Linked DNA regions of Tamandua tetradactyla. The protein of the gene in region 2 interacts with the protein of the main gene of each other region in a biochemical or structural test. Links are inferred from orthologs where the notes say so. Each region holds a gene or a part of one and is shown on either strand. Other genes may lie near its edges.

Evidence for each region. The genes of interacting proteins can lie anywhere in the genome.
Region 1: the proteins of USP51 (region 2) and ZEB1 form a complex in vitro, tested with the Homo sapiens proteins (2 studies listed by BioGRID). The link is inferred for Tamandua tetradactyla from reciprocal best matches to the Homo sapiens genes USP51 and ZEB1.

Annotation. Positions count from the first base shown.
Region 1 is NC_135327.1:219,860,495-219,867,894, reverse strand, and holds the start of ZEB1 (zinc finger E-box-binding homeobox 1), read left to right. Parts: upstream 1-4,318; 5' UTR 4,319-4,364; coding exon 4,365-4,422; intron 4,423-5,911; exon of another isoform or gene 5,912-6,546; coding exon of another isoform or gene 6,547-6,553; intron 6,554-7,400. UniProt on the Homo sapiens protein: Acts as a transcriptional repressor. Inhibits interleukin-2 (IL-2) gene expression. Enhances or represses the promoter activity of the ATP1A1 gene depending on the quantity of cDNA and on the cell type.
Region 2 is NC_135353.1:113,253,587-113,261,121, forward strand, and holds the start of USP51 (ubiquitin carboxyl-terminal hydrolase 51), read right to left. Parts: upstream 3,043-7,535; 5' UTR 2,940-3,042; intron 2,485-2,939; 5' UTR 2,321-2,484; intron 2,145-2,320; 5' UTR 2,090-2,144; coding exon 1-2,089.

The DNA.
Region 1 (7,400 bases), on a different chromosome or scaffold from region 2:
ACCCCTAATGTTTTCATGTGAGTTTAACAAAATGGTGGCATATTTACAACCTCTTACTGATAGCAAATATTTTAAATACATATACTGTGAGGAAGGAACAATGGCAGGGATTGGAACTAAGGAGCTGTAGAATACATAAGGCTAAGGCTGGTGATCACAGAAATAGCCATACTCTGTAACAAAACCCATCAGCTGCTAAAAGAAGTCAAGATGCCAGAGAAACGAAATCCATGGAGACAAAAGGCAGAAAACAGCAGTAGAAACCAGATATCTGACCACTGATACCATGGTTATTACTTAAAACTCAACTCAAATTCAAAATATGCATGTTGTCTCCCTACTGCAAATTTAAGTATATGAAAAAATAAAAGATTATTCATGTTCATAAGTAATATCAATAATAGAAACTATAATCTATTGTCTGTGGAGGAGGCCTCTGAAAGTAACCTATTTTAATTATTGTGATTTTTTATGGAAAAGATTAGTTTTATTTTTGGATGTTCACTCACATCCTACAAACATCTCTATGTTTATACCTGTATCTCTATTAGACATTTTCCTGAAAAATTGTTCCCCAAATAAAAAGCTCCATGCGTTACCATTTCATCACCATATTAAAAACAGGAGTCTTATTCTTAAAAGGAGAAAACTTTTAATAAAATCATGTGCTTGGAAAAGGCTTTGTCCCTATTATCACCTCCTGGGAAGCCTTATTAGAAGTTGGGCGGGCCCTGAGAACAGCTGTCAGCTCTGCATCATGGGTAAGTCAGGTTTCCTTCCTGTCTCAACCATCCTAGAACGTGGTGAACTGCAGCAGTGGCATAGCCATTGCCCTCGTCTGTCCGACTGTGAACCACACACCCAGAATCACTACTGGTCCAGGGAAGAGTAACCACTCTAGGGAACTTCAAATTCTGTACCCTAAAGGATCCCGTGACAAATTTATTCTTTCTTTTTCAAAGCTTTAAGATGAAAATTACACATTGAATTAAGAGCAGTATCAGGTTAGCCTTCCACAAAATATAACCAATTCTCTGCTCTGATGAGGAACATATAATTGTTCCCTAAATTGTACTTCAACTTGATCAGGAAGTGAGGTGCATGGAAAGCATATGCTAGGTATGGAACAGCAAGATCAGTATTTGATACAAAGTAATTTTATGTCGAATTTCATGCTAACTTATAGCACAATTCTTTCATGGAAAGCCAACAGCAGGTGCAAAAGGTTTATGAAAAATGTATAGAAACAAATTCAATATTGAAAACATTCTACCCATTTCCATTTTTCCAAGAAAATTTGGAAAAGATTAGAGCAATTCATTTTTAGCAGAATACCTCTCCTTCGGCATACGCAGTACGAGGAGCAAAGCTTGAAACCAGGGTATCAAAGTATTTATACAATTAGGCAGTAGGCTATATATTTAATCTAGTACATAGCAAACATACATGTAGATTATTTCATCAATTATATATGTACAAAATCACTACATATTTATACTCCATTGATTTAAATATAGTATATTGAAAATATGTTGTACACTAGCATGAAAACTACTAAAAATAAAGCCTCACCTTTTGATTGAAATAAACCTAAAGCCTAATGAATGTTTTTTGTAAATTGATTCTAAAGGTTTTTTCCAATTCTCTATGAGCTAAGAAACAACCATCACACATATATCAGGTTTACAGCAGCAATTTATTGAGATCACTTTTGTTCTTGCCAGACTAGATTTCAATAATTTCTTAAACATTAAATAAAGGTATTCAGAAAATATTCAACTTGTTTATATATATATATATATATATATATATATATATATATATATATATATAAAACAAATTTTGTTTGAAAAGATTTGTGCATATTTTAAAAATAGCAGAGTTAATCATTTGGGAAAATGATTATAGAGAAACTAATTTCAAGAATGATTAGTTTGGAAATAAGGCAGAATATAAATGAGAATACCTTTCACGTCCATGATTTCAACAATTCCTAAGAATCAATGTGATGGAGACAGATAAACAACACTCATTTTGTAGCCAAGAACAGACTCAGAAAATGTGAACAATATTCATTTATTTAAGAAATATTAATTGAGCATCTACTATGTGGTTAGGTGCTCTGCTATGTGCTGAGGGCATAGAAATGAAGGAGTTAAAGTCTGGCCCAAGATAACTAAACTAGTCCACAGCTGATGTAAGGAAAAAAATGACTTCTACTCAGTTTGTCCCTCCACTTCTTTCTGTACAATTCATTTCATGGTAAAGACAAACACCGAAGGAGCTTAGTAGGGCAGTAGTGGATGGGCACTTGAGAAAGAGAAAACAATATGTGTGACGCTTCTTAAGTTTAAGGGTAGGTTAAGGTGTGTGGTAGAGTTGGAGAGTATTTTTCCCCTGCCTTTCTGACCATAACTCAGGGTAGCTGTAAAAGTTGTAGAAAGGGGAAGAAATTCTGGCAAAAGATAAAGTCTGCAACATGATTCAAAGGCAACTGAATCACACTATATATCATCTAAGAGAAGAAAAAATGACCACTGGTCCTTGCAAAGCAAGGGTGCCAGCATATATACAAGCCTGTCATTGAGCATGACTAAATCGAGAGCTGCCTGTCTTAAAATGATCATTAAGAATGAGTCTAGTTCCGGGGTTGGAAATGAGAACAGATACATAAACACAATGTACAGGAAAGAATATTTACAGTCATTCATGAACCAATAAATAGTATTTACTTCTCAAAATGCCAATGCAAATGTGGGAAATAATTTTCTCATCTATATTCAGGATTTGCGTTCTAATTTGAAATGACCAGACTTTGGCCATACATTTATTTCACTTGAAAGGTTTCATGAGATCAGGTGGGTGCTTACCACATAAATTTTAACATAATAAAGAATCCTGTCATAAGCACGGCAAAAATCGTTAAGTATAATTTATTGAGCACCTACAATGTGCCAACACTGTTGGATAATTTACGTCATTTTTCATACTCTGATATGCTACCTTTCAGTTTTCTTAATTTCTCTATCAACAACTCTTGTTCATTTATAACTATATTTACTGAAACACATCTTAGCTCCATGCATTCCACAAAGTTGGTTTCAAATACAACTTCAAGTATTCCCTCACTTGAAATGAGGGAGGGGGCAGAAGGGGAAATCTAAATCCTGCTGATTACTTAAAGACTTACTTTCTTGGTACGGGTGGTATTATCTATATTGCTTCTTCAGAAATCCCCAACTTGTACAAAGTCAAGGACTTAAGATAAGATCAGCATTCTATCAGTCTCAGAGACCACATTTGTCAGCCTTTGTTTCTTGCCTTAACGTCCTAAACATGGATAACTGCCCCTTAAGGTAGTAAATCACTGCAGGTTAATACCTTAACTCTAAGCCTTGACCCCTACAATCCGGTCGGTCTACCCTGAGAAGAGAGCAGGGAGGAGAGCTGAGGGCGGAGAGCAGGGCGGGGGCGGCCGAGGTGACAGCAGGTGAGAGCCCGGTGCGGATGGGGAAGTGAGACAGGGCCAGCGCGGCTATTACTCATTCCGTCCTAGAGCCGCGGGTGCTTACAAGCGGAACTTCTCGCCTCTCTTTCGGTCCAGATGAAGTTCAATCACACAGCAGTCACTTCCCATCGCGGTGGGCCTGGGGGAAAACCGTGCGCGTGCGTCAGGCCTGCGGGAGGCAGGTAGCCTCCCGCCACCCCCACCCCGTGACGCCGCGTGTCCCCAGGGCCGCCGCCCAGCTTCCCGGGTCGGTGCCCCTCCACCTCGCGAGCCGTGGGAACACGCCGCGCGGCTCTCTCCCCGATCCGGGGTGCGCAAGGCGGCCGAGCGAGCCGCCCGGGCCTGACTCCAGGAAGAGCGAGGGCAGGTTGCTCAGCCTGGCCGAGGGGCGGCTCTGCGGGCGCGGAGTCCGGAGCTCTAAGAGCCAGACGCGTACGTGCCCCCGGCGGCCGCGGCGGGTGTGGCCAGCCCGAGGCAGAGAGCCACGGAGCCTCCTACCTTTCCCGCTCTGACAGCCGGCCACCCCCCACCCCTTCCGATCCCGACCCCGCCATTTCCCCGGCGCCCGCGTCCCACTCTCCCCGTCCCACGACACCTGAGGAAAACTTTTCCCTCTTCCCTCGATTCAAACTCCGCAGAGTCTACGGTTGCCGCAAACCGCCCTCTCCCTAGCAACAAGGTTCCGGCCGTAGAGCGAGCGCCTCTAGGTGTAAGGAAGGTGATGTCGTAAAGCCGCGAGTGTCGTAAACCAGGTGCGGTGGGGAGGGGGAGGGGTGGAGGCGGAGGGGTGGGGGGGAAGGGGGAGGGAGGGAGGGGGAGGAGGTGACTCGAGCATTTAGACACAAGCGAGAGGATCATGGCGGATGGCCCCAGGTGTAAGCGCAGAAAGCAGGCGAACCCGCGGCGCAATAACGGTGAGTGGCGGAGGGGACCGGGGAGCGGCGGAGTCAGGGGGAGCCGGGCAGCCGGGGCGCCCCTGGGGGTGAGGGGGGCGAGCCGGGCCGGGGGCTGCCGGGGCAGGGACGGGCCAAGTGGAGTGGGAAAGTAGAAAGTAGTGCTGTCTGCCCCCCTCGGCCGCCGCCGCCGCTGCCGAGCCGCGCCGCGGCTGCTAGCTCTCCCTGAACCGTTATGTCTCTTACCTGGCCTCTCCGCCTAGCGGCTCCCGCCGCCCTGCTGCTCCCTGGACCGTTAGCCGCCGCGCCGCATCCCCGGCGCCGGGAGGCCGGCGGGCACTTTTCGGTCCCGGGGGGAGCGGCTGTTGCTTCTTTCCGCACTTTTCCCCACTCTTTTCCCCCCACCCTCGCGCCCCTCTCGTCCCCTCCCCCGGGGCCCCTCCGCCTTATTCCCCCTCAGCGCCGAGGCCCCGGCGCCCAGGGCAAACTTGTCCCCGCGCCTCCCTGGGAGCGCGGCCCGGGCAGTCGCTCGGGCCCCCGGCGCGCGGGCGGGACGGGGCGGCCCGCGGGGTGCGTGTCCGGGGGCGCGCGTGTGTGTGTGCGCCGGCGCCGGGGGTGCGCGCCGCGGGCGGACGGGCTCGGGCGGCGGCGGCAAAGTTGTGACCCGGGGCGCGGCGCGCTCGCGGGGTCGGCCCCGGCGCGGAAGGCGCGGGGCCCTGGGCGCCCACCTCCCCCTACCCCCACCTCCCCGCGCGCGAGCCGAGCCCCGAGACGCGTTCACTCCGTGGGGAGGGCCGCTGGGCAGGGACGGGCACCTACTTGCTGCTGCCTGGGAAATCTCGGGAGGGCGGCTGGCGCGGCGCCCGGGGGTGTTGGCGGAGTTATGCCCTGGTCCTAGAGACGGGGGAGCGGTGCGGACAGCTCCCCCTCCCTGGGGGCACGCGCTCTCGGCGCAGGGACGGGGTTCGGTGCGGGCGCTTCTCTTTTTTCTCTTTCGGTTTTTGGGGAAGTTGTTACCTGGGCCGGACGCGCGGAGCGCTGAAGCCGGATAATAGAGCTTGGCCGGCGCTCTCGGTCTCGGGTGGAGAAGAGGAGTGGGGGAGGGGCAGACGGACCGACGGACAGACGTCTCCGTAGCTCTCGCAGCCGCAGTGTTTATTGATTTGTGTTGATTTGCCGGGGCAACACACACGCACACGCATACACACATACACACACACCGGCCTGGCGTGAGAGTTAAAAAGAGAGCGCGAGAGCCCCGTACGTATGCTTTTGGGTGTACAGTCGCGTTTTCCAGTTTGGAGCGACGTTGCAAGTTGATTGCGTCCCTGCTCATCTCGGCCGTGGCGGTGGCCTTTCTCTCGCTCTTCTCCAGCAGCCCGAGGTCCGCTGGGTTTTATTGTCTGGAGAGTTGATCCGGCGAGCGGGGCGAGACTGGGGCGCGGGGGCGGCGGGCGCGCCGGGGCGAGGTGCCCCCGCGCGTCCCCGCGCGGTACCTGTTTGTATAATAATGGGCGGTAACGGCCCGCGGGCCCTGCCTGCTGCCGCCGGCCCAGGCTATATAAGGAATTTCACGGGTGGCTTGGGCCGGGGGGCTTACCCCGGGGCCTGCTTGGGTTTGAAAACGAGTTTGTAGGAGTGGGGAAATACGTACGCGCCGGGTGAAATCGCCGCGTCGTGCAGAAAATAAGGAAATGTGTGTTTCAGGGAAAACTCGCGCGCGCCGTCCCCCGCCCCCCGCGCCTGCTCTCTTTCTCCCTCCCCTCCGGGATGCGAAACGCAAGGTTTTGTAACCTTTCCTGGCAATTTTAGATTTTGTGTGGGATTTCCTGTCTGGAGGCAGCTACGAAGATTTTAAGCTGTGCCAAGATGTTTCCTTCCAATCGTAAACGTATTTTTAATATATTTGAGCCTACATTAAAATCACTGCTTTAAGGAATGATTTTAGATATTTGAATAAACACTGGCATTTTAAATACATCTGTTAGTTGTGATTGAAAGGTGTGTTTCGTGTCCTCATTGTAGAGCGATGACTTGTTACAGCACGGAGCGGTGCATAGGCTATTGCAATTTTAATTTCCTGTTTTAGCGTCAAATAGTGCGCGTTCTATATTGAGCTGTTGCCGCCGTTGCTGATGTGGCTTTATGAAAGGTAAGTTGGCTTGGAAAGTGCTGTTCGTTTTTTACCTTATTTAAAATGTTGATCGTCAAAGAAAGGGGCTTTTCTTGGTGCTGACGACATGTGTGTGACATGCGAGTCTGAACCACCCCGCGTTTGTGCAGCTGCTGTAAACATGTTTACCTGAACAGCATAGAATGGATTTTTCTCCTAAAGATCCCGTGATAGGAATATTACACTCGTAAGGCATATCAACAGATGACTTACGGGGGAAAAAAGCGATCCTGAAAGGGACTTGAAATCTACAGGAAAAAGAGGCTCTTGATCGCTGCAGCAAATGGCAACTTGTGCAGGTAGAAAAAAGATGGTGTTTAGTTTTCTCCTGCTTGTATGTCAGCCCCCTCCTGTCTGCTGCTTTCATTCTCAAGGGAGGGATTTATTTACCACGCTTGCTGTCAGTGTTTTTCCTTTGTGTTTAGTATTAGAAAAACAGATTTGGGGCTCTTTAGCACAAAACGTCTTGTCTGTGGTATGCATTACTCCCAGAAAACAAAAGGTGTTTAAGATAGTACCGTACCAGTACAGGTATCTTCCATTTTCATCACTTTTGGCTCTGTCCTTGTATTTCTTTTTGTTCTCAAATGCATCTTATCCACCGCTGATGATTATAGCCATGTTATTTGATTTAACCTTTTATTTTGCAAATGAAAAATGAAGTTATATGCCATTGTGTTGTGAAACCTCAGGATAAGTACTGGTTAATATTTATTAGCAACGCAGTCATGTTTAAGTTGCAGATGTTTATTGGAGAGAATCGCCTAGAAAAAAAAATGTTAACCCTTAAATCCTTTTAGTGAAGAAATAAGTGATGCATTGGGTG
Region 2 (7,535 bases):
AATATCCTTCACTGTAAAGTAAGTCTTCAATGGTAGCTTTGGTGATGATGGCATCATCACAGCTGAACCACTGGTCCTTTTGTTGCCGGATAAAGCTAGTATAGTGCCCACTTTCCAAAGTTCCATGGTGATTAATCACTGCAAACAAGGAATACTTATTCTCATTGGGCAAACAGTCTGTTGCTGGCTGGCCTTTCATTCTGCTCTCTTTAGTGGAGGCCAAAAATGGAGTCATGTCCAGCTCCAAGGGAAAGGAGATAAAAGTATTAATCTTTCGTCTCTGTTTACCTACATGTTCAAACCGTTTGAGATGAAAACAGGCCACAGCAGGTAATTTCTTCATTGTGAGCTGTTTGGTAGATTCTTGGTAGCTTTGACAACTACTGCATTTGATTTTGGCACTGCTTCCTAGGTGCTCTGGTCTTGTAAACCACTGTAGGCAGTCTGTGAGAGAGGGGATTCCTGGTATGTGATCATCCCTTCTTACTGCGCTGTCAGCCTTCTCTGGGCTCTGGGAAGTGAATGTGGCACAAGAACCAGGCAAGTCCAAACTGATGTCCCAGCATGGGTCAATTGTAGTGGAGATGCTGTGGCAGGTTTGACATGTGACGTCTGACTGGAGGCCACCTGTGAAGATTTGGTCAATGATACAGTTACAACAGTTGGGGTTATTGGCTTCTTGTGCAACACTATCATCTTTGCTGTGTCTATGCAGCACATCTAATATTGCAATAAGGAACTCATGGGCATCCTGTTGCCTGTACCCTGCTAAATGTTCTGCATGAATCCATATCAGGTGCAATAACTTATAGGGAATATGAGGAGTTCGGCTCCCAGAGTACATAGCCTGAAAAAGTGAAGACATTTCACAGACCAGACACAAGCCGGGGCTTGTCATTATACATTTGTGCTTGTCAGAGAGGAAGAAATCTTTCAATAGAGGAATGTGGGTAAGTGCCTGGACAACACAGTTCATAAAGCAGGTATTTCCAAGATTGATTAGCCCCCTCAGACCTACAGTATAAACTGACTTTTTTCTCCTCTTTTTCTTGGGTTTCACAAATTTTGGCTCCTGTTCCTTTGACTCACAGGTTGATTGCTTCTCTTTAACACCTGATGTCATATACTGTTGTTGAGAAACGTCTGTTGAGGTGGAAGTTAGTAACTTCAAATTTTTTTCTTTTGTATCTTTGGCAATCCGTTCTATGTCCTTGTCATATACATAATCCTTACATATAAAGCAATATATAACTCCATGATAGAGGTCGATAGCTAAATTGTGCTGTTTTGTTTCTGCATGTTTGTGAATATGTTTTTCAGCAAAGCAGCCAAAAAAGACACAGGAGAGACAAGAGTGGAGCCTGTTCATATGGGTACTACATACACGACAGATGCACGACTTTGCTTTACGTTTCCTAGTCTCCGGGGTCCCGCTCCAAACGAAACGCTGGTAGATCAACCGCAGGTTCTTCTGCCAGTTCTTAACCACTTTAAAACTCTCTACATGACAACATCCTATAGGACCCTTATCAAACTCCATCTCCAGCAACCAGCCCCCTGAGCCATCTCGATCCCCAGAGCTGCCTAGCTCACCAGAACAGCCTCGCCATATCTGCGGCACGGACCTGGGTTGTGATCTCCGCCTGGATCTGCGCCCCAGCCAGGGTGGGGGCGGGAGCGAAGGCAGGGGGAGGGGCGGTAGCAGGGGACGGACTGGAGGCGGGGGAGGGTCTGAGGGCCTGGAAGGGCCTCGGGAGCGTGCCCAGGGCTGGGGCCGAGGGCGGGGCTTGCGGCGTGGGCAAACCGGCGAGGCGCTGCTATGACAGCGAGGGTGGATTGTAAAGAGCACCTTCTCCTCGCCGTCACCGCTCCGTGTCAAGTTCTCGTCAGGATCAGGCTTATGCTCTTGTAATGATTCCAGCTTGCTCTTCTCAGCTCCCTGGCCAGAACATGCCTTCGCCACCCTTACTGCCTCCTCCTCCATTCCCCCCGCCTTTTCAGCCACCTCAAGCAAAGCTCCACCTCCAGCTTCCAAGCTCGGGAGGACCGCTGAACCGGAGGACATGGAAACTTCTGGTATCTGGGCCATCACCTCACCGCCCCGCCTAAGGAGATGGACGTCTGGATTCGAGCTGCGATTGTAGCTGGAATGAGACAGGGACTTCTATGAGTGACATGCCTAGCATCAAGGCCGCGGTGCTCAGTTTATGCTCCAGGGACCCCTTCCATCCGCCTTCGAGCTCAGCCCGATGCAGCTGCGGGCTCCACCCCCTCCACTCTGACTGGCTCCGGGAACTGGGGTGGATACGGAGGAAGTTACCTGGTTTAAAGGCGATCAGATCCTGCGGCGGGACTCAGCCTGAGCTTTTGGGAGGAGAAACATGGAAACTTCTTTTTAAAAAGGCGTCACCCTCTAACTGCGTTCTCTGCGCCTCGTGCAGCCTCACTTTCATACAGCTTCCTCTGACGTTCTTTCCTTATATACTAAAAAACAAAATGCAAAAATAGAAATCACACACACACACACACTCACATTTGAGTTAACATTTTACCTTAAAAATGGCTGAAAGGGAGTCACTTGGAAAATGGGCACAGGAGAAGAAAGCTTCTCCCTGCTCTTATCTTAACTATGCTTCTGGGGCCGGTGTGTTCCACCTTTCGTCCCTGCACACAGGCGCGCACTGTCTTTGAGTCGGTCAGCCACACTCCTACGTCTTCTTAGGCTCTTTCCCTCTTCTGCTCCCTCTCACACCCTCTCTCTTGCTTCAGCGCCCTCCTTTCCTGCGGTTCCGCCTGTAATCCTGGTTCCTTCTCACGCCCTCCCAGCATTAACCAACCCCATAGCCACCCCTTCTTTAAGTGCGCGACCCCTGAAAAATCCGCTCTCCTCGCCCCCGCCACACACGCAGCCCAGCTATTTGTTTAAAGGTCTGGATTACCGTGGACCCCAGGCGTGTGATACAGAGCATCAGCAGTTGCTGCTGACCGACCACTCCTCAGCCAGCCTCTCCTGGCCTTATCCTCAGGGCTGGTCACAAGAGGGCCGCCCCTTGGCCCCTCCCCTCTCCACGTGTGGCCCCTAGCCCTGGATCCTGCCCTCCGGCAGTGATGAATGGCGCCGCTGTCCCGTGAAAGCAGACAAACCCTCACTCTGCTTAAGGTAACAAGGGTGACAGAATAACGAGAAAGCCCCTGGAATGGAGGTTCGGGCCTCACCTGATTCCAGGCCCAGGATCACCAGGGAAAAGATTCCGTGGGATAGGGGTGGGTGATTGCTGGGAAGACAGCTAGCTCCCCAAGCCTGAATCCTTCAGGGAACTATCAGAATCTAGTCTGTAGAAGTAAGTAGAGAAGGAGAGATGTTACCCTGGAGTGTGAAGGAGAGGAAACATAAGCATGGGCTTCAGGTTCAAATACACCTGAGTTAGGCACTTGTTAGCTGTGTGACCTCAGATAAAAATGAACTGCCCTGCACCTTAATTGTGTCATCTGTAAAACAAACCAAAAAAATGATAATTATAGTACTAACCTGTGAAGAACACTAAGTCAGTGTTCTGGTTAGCTCCCTGGGGAAATGCAATATACCAGAAATGGAATGGCTTTTAAAAAGGGGGAATTTATGGGCGGGCCATGGTGGCTTTGTGGCAGAATTCTTGCCTGCCATGCTTGAGACCTGCTTTGATTCCTGGTGCCTGCCCATGCAAAAATAAATAAATAAAAATAAAAATTTTTAAAAAGGGGGAATTTAATAAGTTGCGAGTTAACAGTTTTTAAGGCTGAGAAAATGTCCCAATTAAAACAGGTCTATAGAAATGTCCAATCTAAGGCATCCAGGGAAAGATACCTTGATTCAAGAAGGCTAATGAAGTTCCAGGTTTCTTTCTCAAGTGGAAAGGCGCATGGCAAACACCATCAGGATTTCTCTCTCATCTGGAAAGGCACATGGCGAACACAGTGGCTGGCTGGTGGACTCTCTGCTTCTAGTGGCTGTGTCCTTCTTTTTTGCTCTCTCTGTATCTCCTGGCTTTCTCTCTCATCGTTCGCTGTCGTGTCTTTCTCATGGCTCTGTCATTCTTCTCTGTTCTCTCTGAATCTCCTCCTTTCTCCAAAATGTTTCCTCTTTTATAGGATTCCAGTAAAGTAATCAAGACCAGCCTAGAACGGATGGAGACTCCACCTAATCCAGTTTAACAACCACTCTTGATTGACTCACATCTCAAGAGAGATGATCTAATTACAGTTTCAAACATACAGTTCTGATTAGGGATTAGAAGAAACGGCTGCTTTTACAAAATGGGATTAGGATTAAAACATGGCTTTTCTAGGGCACAGACATCCTTTCAAACTGGCACACATATTATATGTAAAAAGAGTTTTACTTTCACAAGTCTCTCAGCACCCATCCTGCATATATGTATATACTATAACTATACATACAACAATGAAAAAGAAATCGATTGTCTATTTCCAAGCCCTCTTAAAGTTATTACTTAGTTAACCTGATCACCCCAACTAAGCAGATCATATACATGGCAATGCATTCAACAAAAGTACAACAGTCCCTTAATTGTACAACTGCACAAGGTTGTGGTGTGAGAAACAGTAAGTAAAAGGACTTCTGTCCTCAAGGAGTTGATTGCCCAAGAGAATTTTCCTTCCTTTTCAAAATTAGAGGATCCAAGACACAACCCCCATAGAGTTGTTATCTCCAGGGCTTGTTGCAATTCCTATCCTATCTGAAGAATAGACTATTAAGAATGTTCAATGCTACATTCAAAGTGTCTAGGAAAGTCATGTCTCTTCTCTCTAAAACTCAGAAATAGGATGAACTAGAACTCTAAGGCATAGAAGTGTCATCAAGTAGATTCTTTTCCACAAAAGATGTATAAAGATTTTAGGAACAAGGACTAACCTATTTGATTTTTCTGACTGAGTGCAGGACTCACATGACCTTGGAGAGAAGCATGCCCCTAAATTTTCTCCCCCACACCAAATATAAGCTGAGAAGCTCAAGTAAGAATCAACGTTCTTTGATAAATTTGATTGCAGGAGTGATTGCATGGGAATTCAGAGAACTGTGTTTTTATAATTATTCCCACCATTTCCAGCTGTGTTATAGCCTTGGAGGAGCTACTCCTCACATCTAAGTCTCAGTTTACCCAAATAAAAAAAGAGCTGCTTTAATTTGGCTGTTCTTTGCTAGCTAAGAAACACCAAGACCTCTAAAATCATGGCAATGCAGCAAAAAGCCCGAGTACACTTCAAATCCACAGATACCTGGTCCACAGGTCAGCCAGACACTGTGTAGCTGAGTGGAAAAGATGCTGGCACTCTCATGGTTCTAACTGGAGGGCCCCAACAAGGGAGGGAAGGCTTATTCTTTCCATGCTGGAATTTTCCATCACTCTGTACACAGTAGAGATCCCTTGAAATTTAGGTGGCCTTTGGCACATTAATTTGTCTTCCTCTGGAGTTTTCATAGCACTTTCAGTGTGAAAAAAAAGAAAAAAGATGCAAAGTTTTGACCTCATGGAATTTTGGATGTGTTTACATATTAAGGATTTATGCAACATGCACCAGGGGTTGAAGGACGACACAAAAGGCGGCAGTGGGGTAAAGAGAGGCAGAAATGGAGTCACTTTAGTGGGTGGCCAGGCAGATATTAAGGGGAGGAGGAGGAGCTAGAGAGAGAAGTTGCCCTGTCATCCTACTGGTGAGTGGGTGGGTGGCAAAGGGGAACATGAAGGTCCTTGGTGTCCTGAGAGACAGTCCGTCCTGCTTCCCTTGTTCTCATCCCCCACATGTGAATTATCTTCTGTCTTGCGTGTCCCTTCTTTGGCAGCATGCTGGTAAGGAGAGTTCAGTGGCCCTGGAGGTCTGAGCAGTGCCACTCCCACCTGAAAAACAGCCAGTTATTGCCCCCACATACTGTCCTGCTCCACCCACCGAGCCTTGTGATTCTGATGGTCTACCCCTTAAGAGTAGAGCACAGAGAGGGGTACAACAGAGGAGGAAGCAGGTCCTCAGGATTCCACCTTGTCTCCAAATTCACCCCCAGAGGTCCTGCCCCTACCACATCTCCAGAGTGTGCCTCAGTCTAGACCAGCCTCCAAGGATCGGATCTCCCTCCTGGATTCTCTGTCCTTTAGATGCAGCTCAAGTGTCGCCTCCTCCAGGAAGCCTCCTTTGATCCCACAGATCTGGAGGGAGGGGCCTTTCAGGGTACAGTGACAACTCCCCGGCAGGGCACGCCAGACCCAGCCAGCATCTCTGAGGAGGCACATGTTGGGCCCTCAGTTGAGGCCCCAGCCCCAGCTACCCACCCCCTCCTAACCTTACCCTTTGTCAGCAGAGGGAAGCCTGCATAAAGAGACTACCCATAAACAGAGAAGGTGTCCTGTGGAAGAGTAGCTGGAAAGCATGTCCAAACCTCACTCATATGTACAGTTCCAAGCTGGGAAGGCTCCTTGGACTTGTAGACTAATTTATGCAGGGAAATACCTTTTCTCTCTCTAAGTAAGTACATTTGCTCAGCCTGAGCCAACAAAGTGTTGCTTACTTCTGGGTTAGCAGACCTGGATGGAAGGACTGACCCAGGGATTTGCAAGCTGTGCAAACCGGGGGTGGATCTTTCATGGAGGCTGGCAGGCAGGGTACCCGTTATAAATACTATGTCTTCTGAGCCTCTGGTTTTCATAATTTCAAGGTGATGAGCATAAATGATACTTGAGAAATCTGATACAAATGTGACATGATATAAAATATTTGTCGGTGACACCCTCACATGTAGTGCTAAGCTAATATTACTGTGGTTTCCTGCGTAGACTCCTAATTGAAGGATATGCTCAATTTAAGTGTGAGTTGTGTGAAACAAAAGACATAGGTTTTTCCTATCCCCACTCACAGGTCTCTGAAATTCCATGCTCTGACTAAGCTTGCTTCACAACGCCCTGAGTACTTTGACCACTTAGTGTACAAACCTATGATCAACCGTTTATGAAGTGCGTGGTAAGTGCTCGTCACTGTACATATGGCGACGTGAAATTGTATCCACATGTCAGCCTTGCTAGTTAGGTATCCTCACCTTACAATTGGGGAAACTGAGGTATCATTTAACATTAACACAAGAACATCCTGAGGAGAAGAGTGAGAGCTGACCTGGAGCTTCCGGAGACAGAAGTTTGGAATACAGTGTTATATTTCACCTTTTTATCATTTATTGCATCAGCTCTCTGGAAGGCAGCATGTAATTTCAGGTGGTGGAAGGATGTGGCTCTGTTACGTTTCCACAGAATCCTGAATAAATTCCTGAATATTTTTGTGAGAGGATCAGGAAAGCTCATACCCTGAGGAAGTCAACACTGTGTGTCCCCAGTGGGGGAGGGGTGAGGATGCTGGAGTTGCATCTGCAGCCTAGGGCAGTAGAAGGGAGAGAATGCGGAGCTGGTATTCAGACAGTAGACACCAGCAACCATATTGGCTGGTTTTTTTTTTAATTTTTTATTGTGAAATATAACATATATACAAAAAAGGAA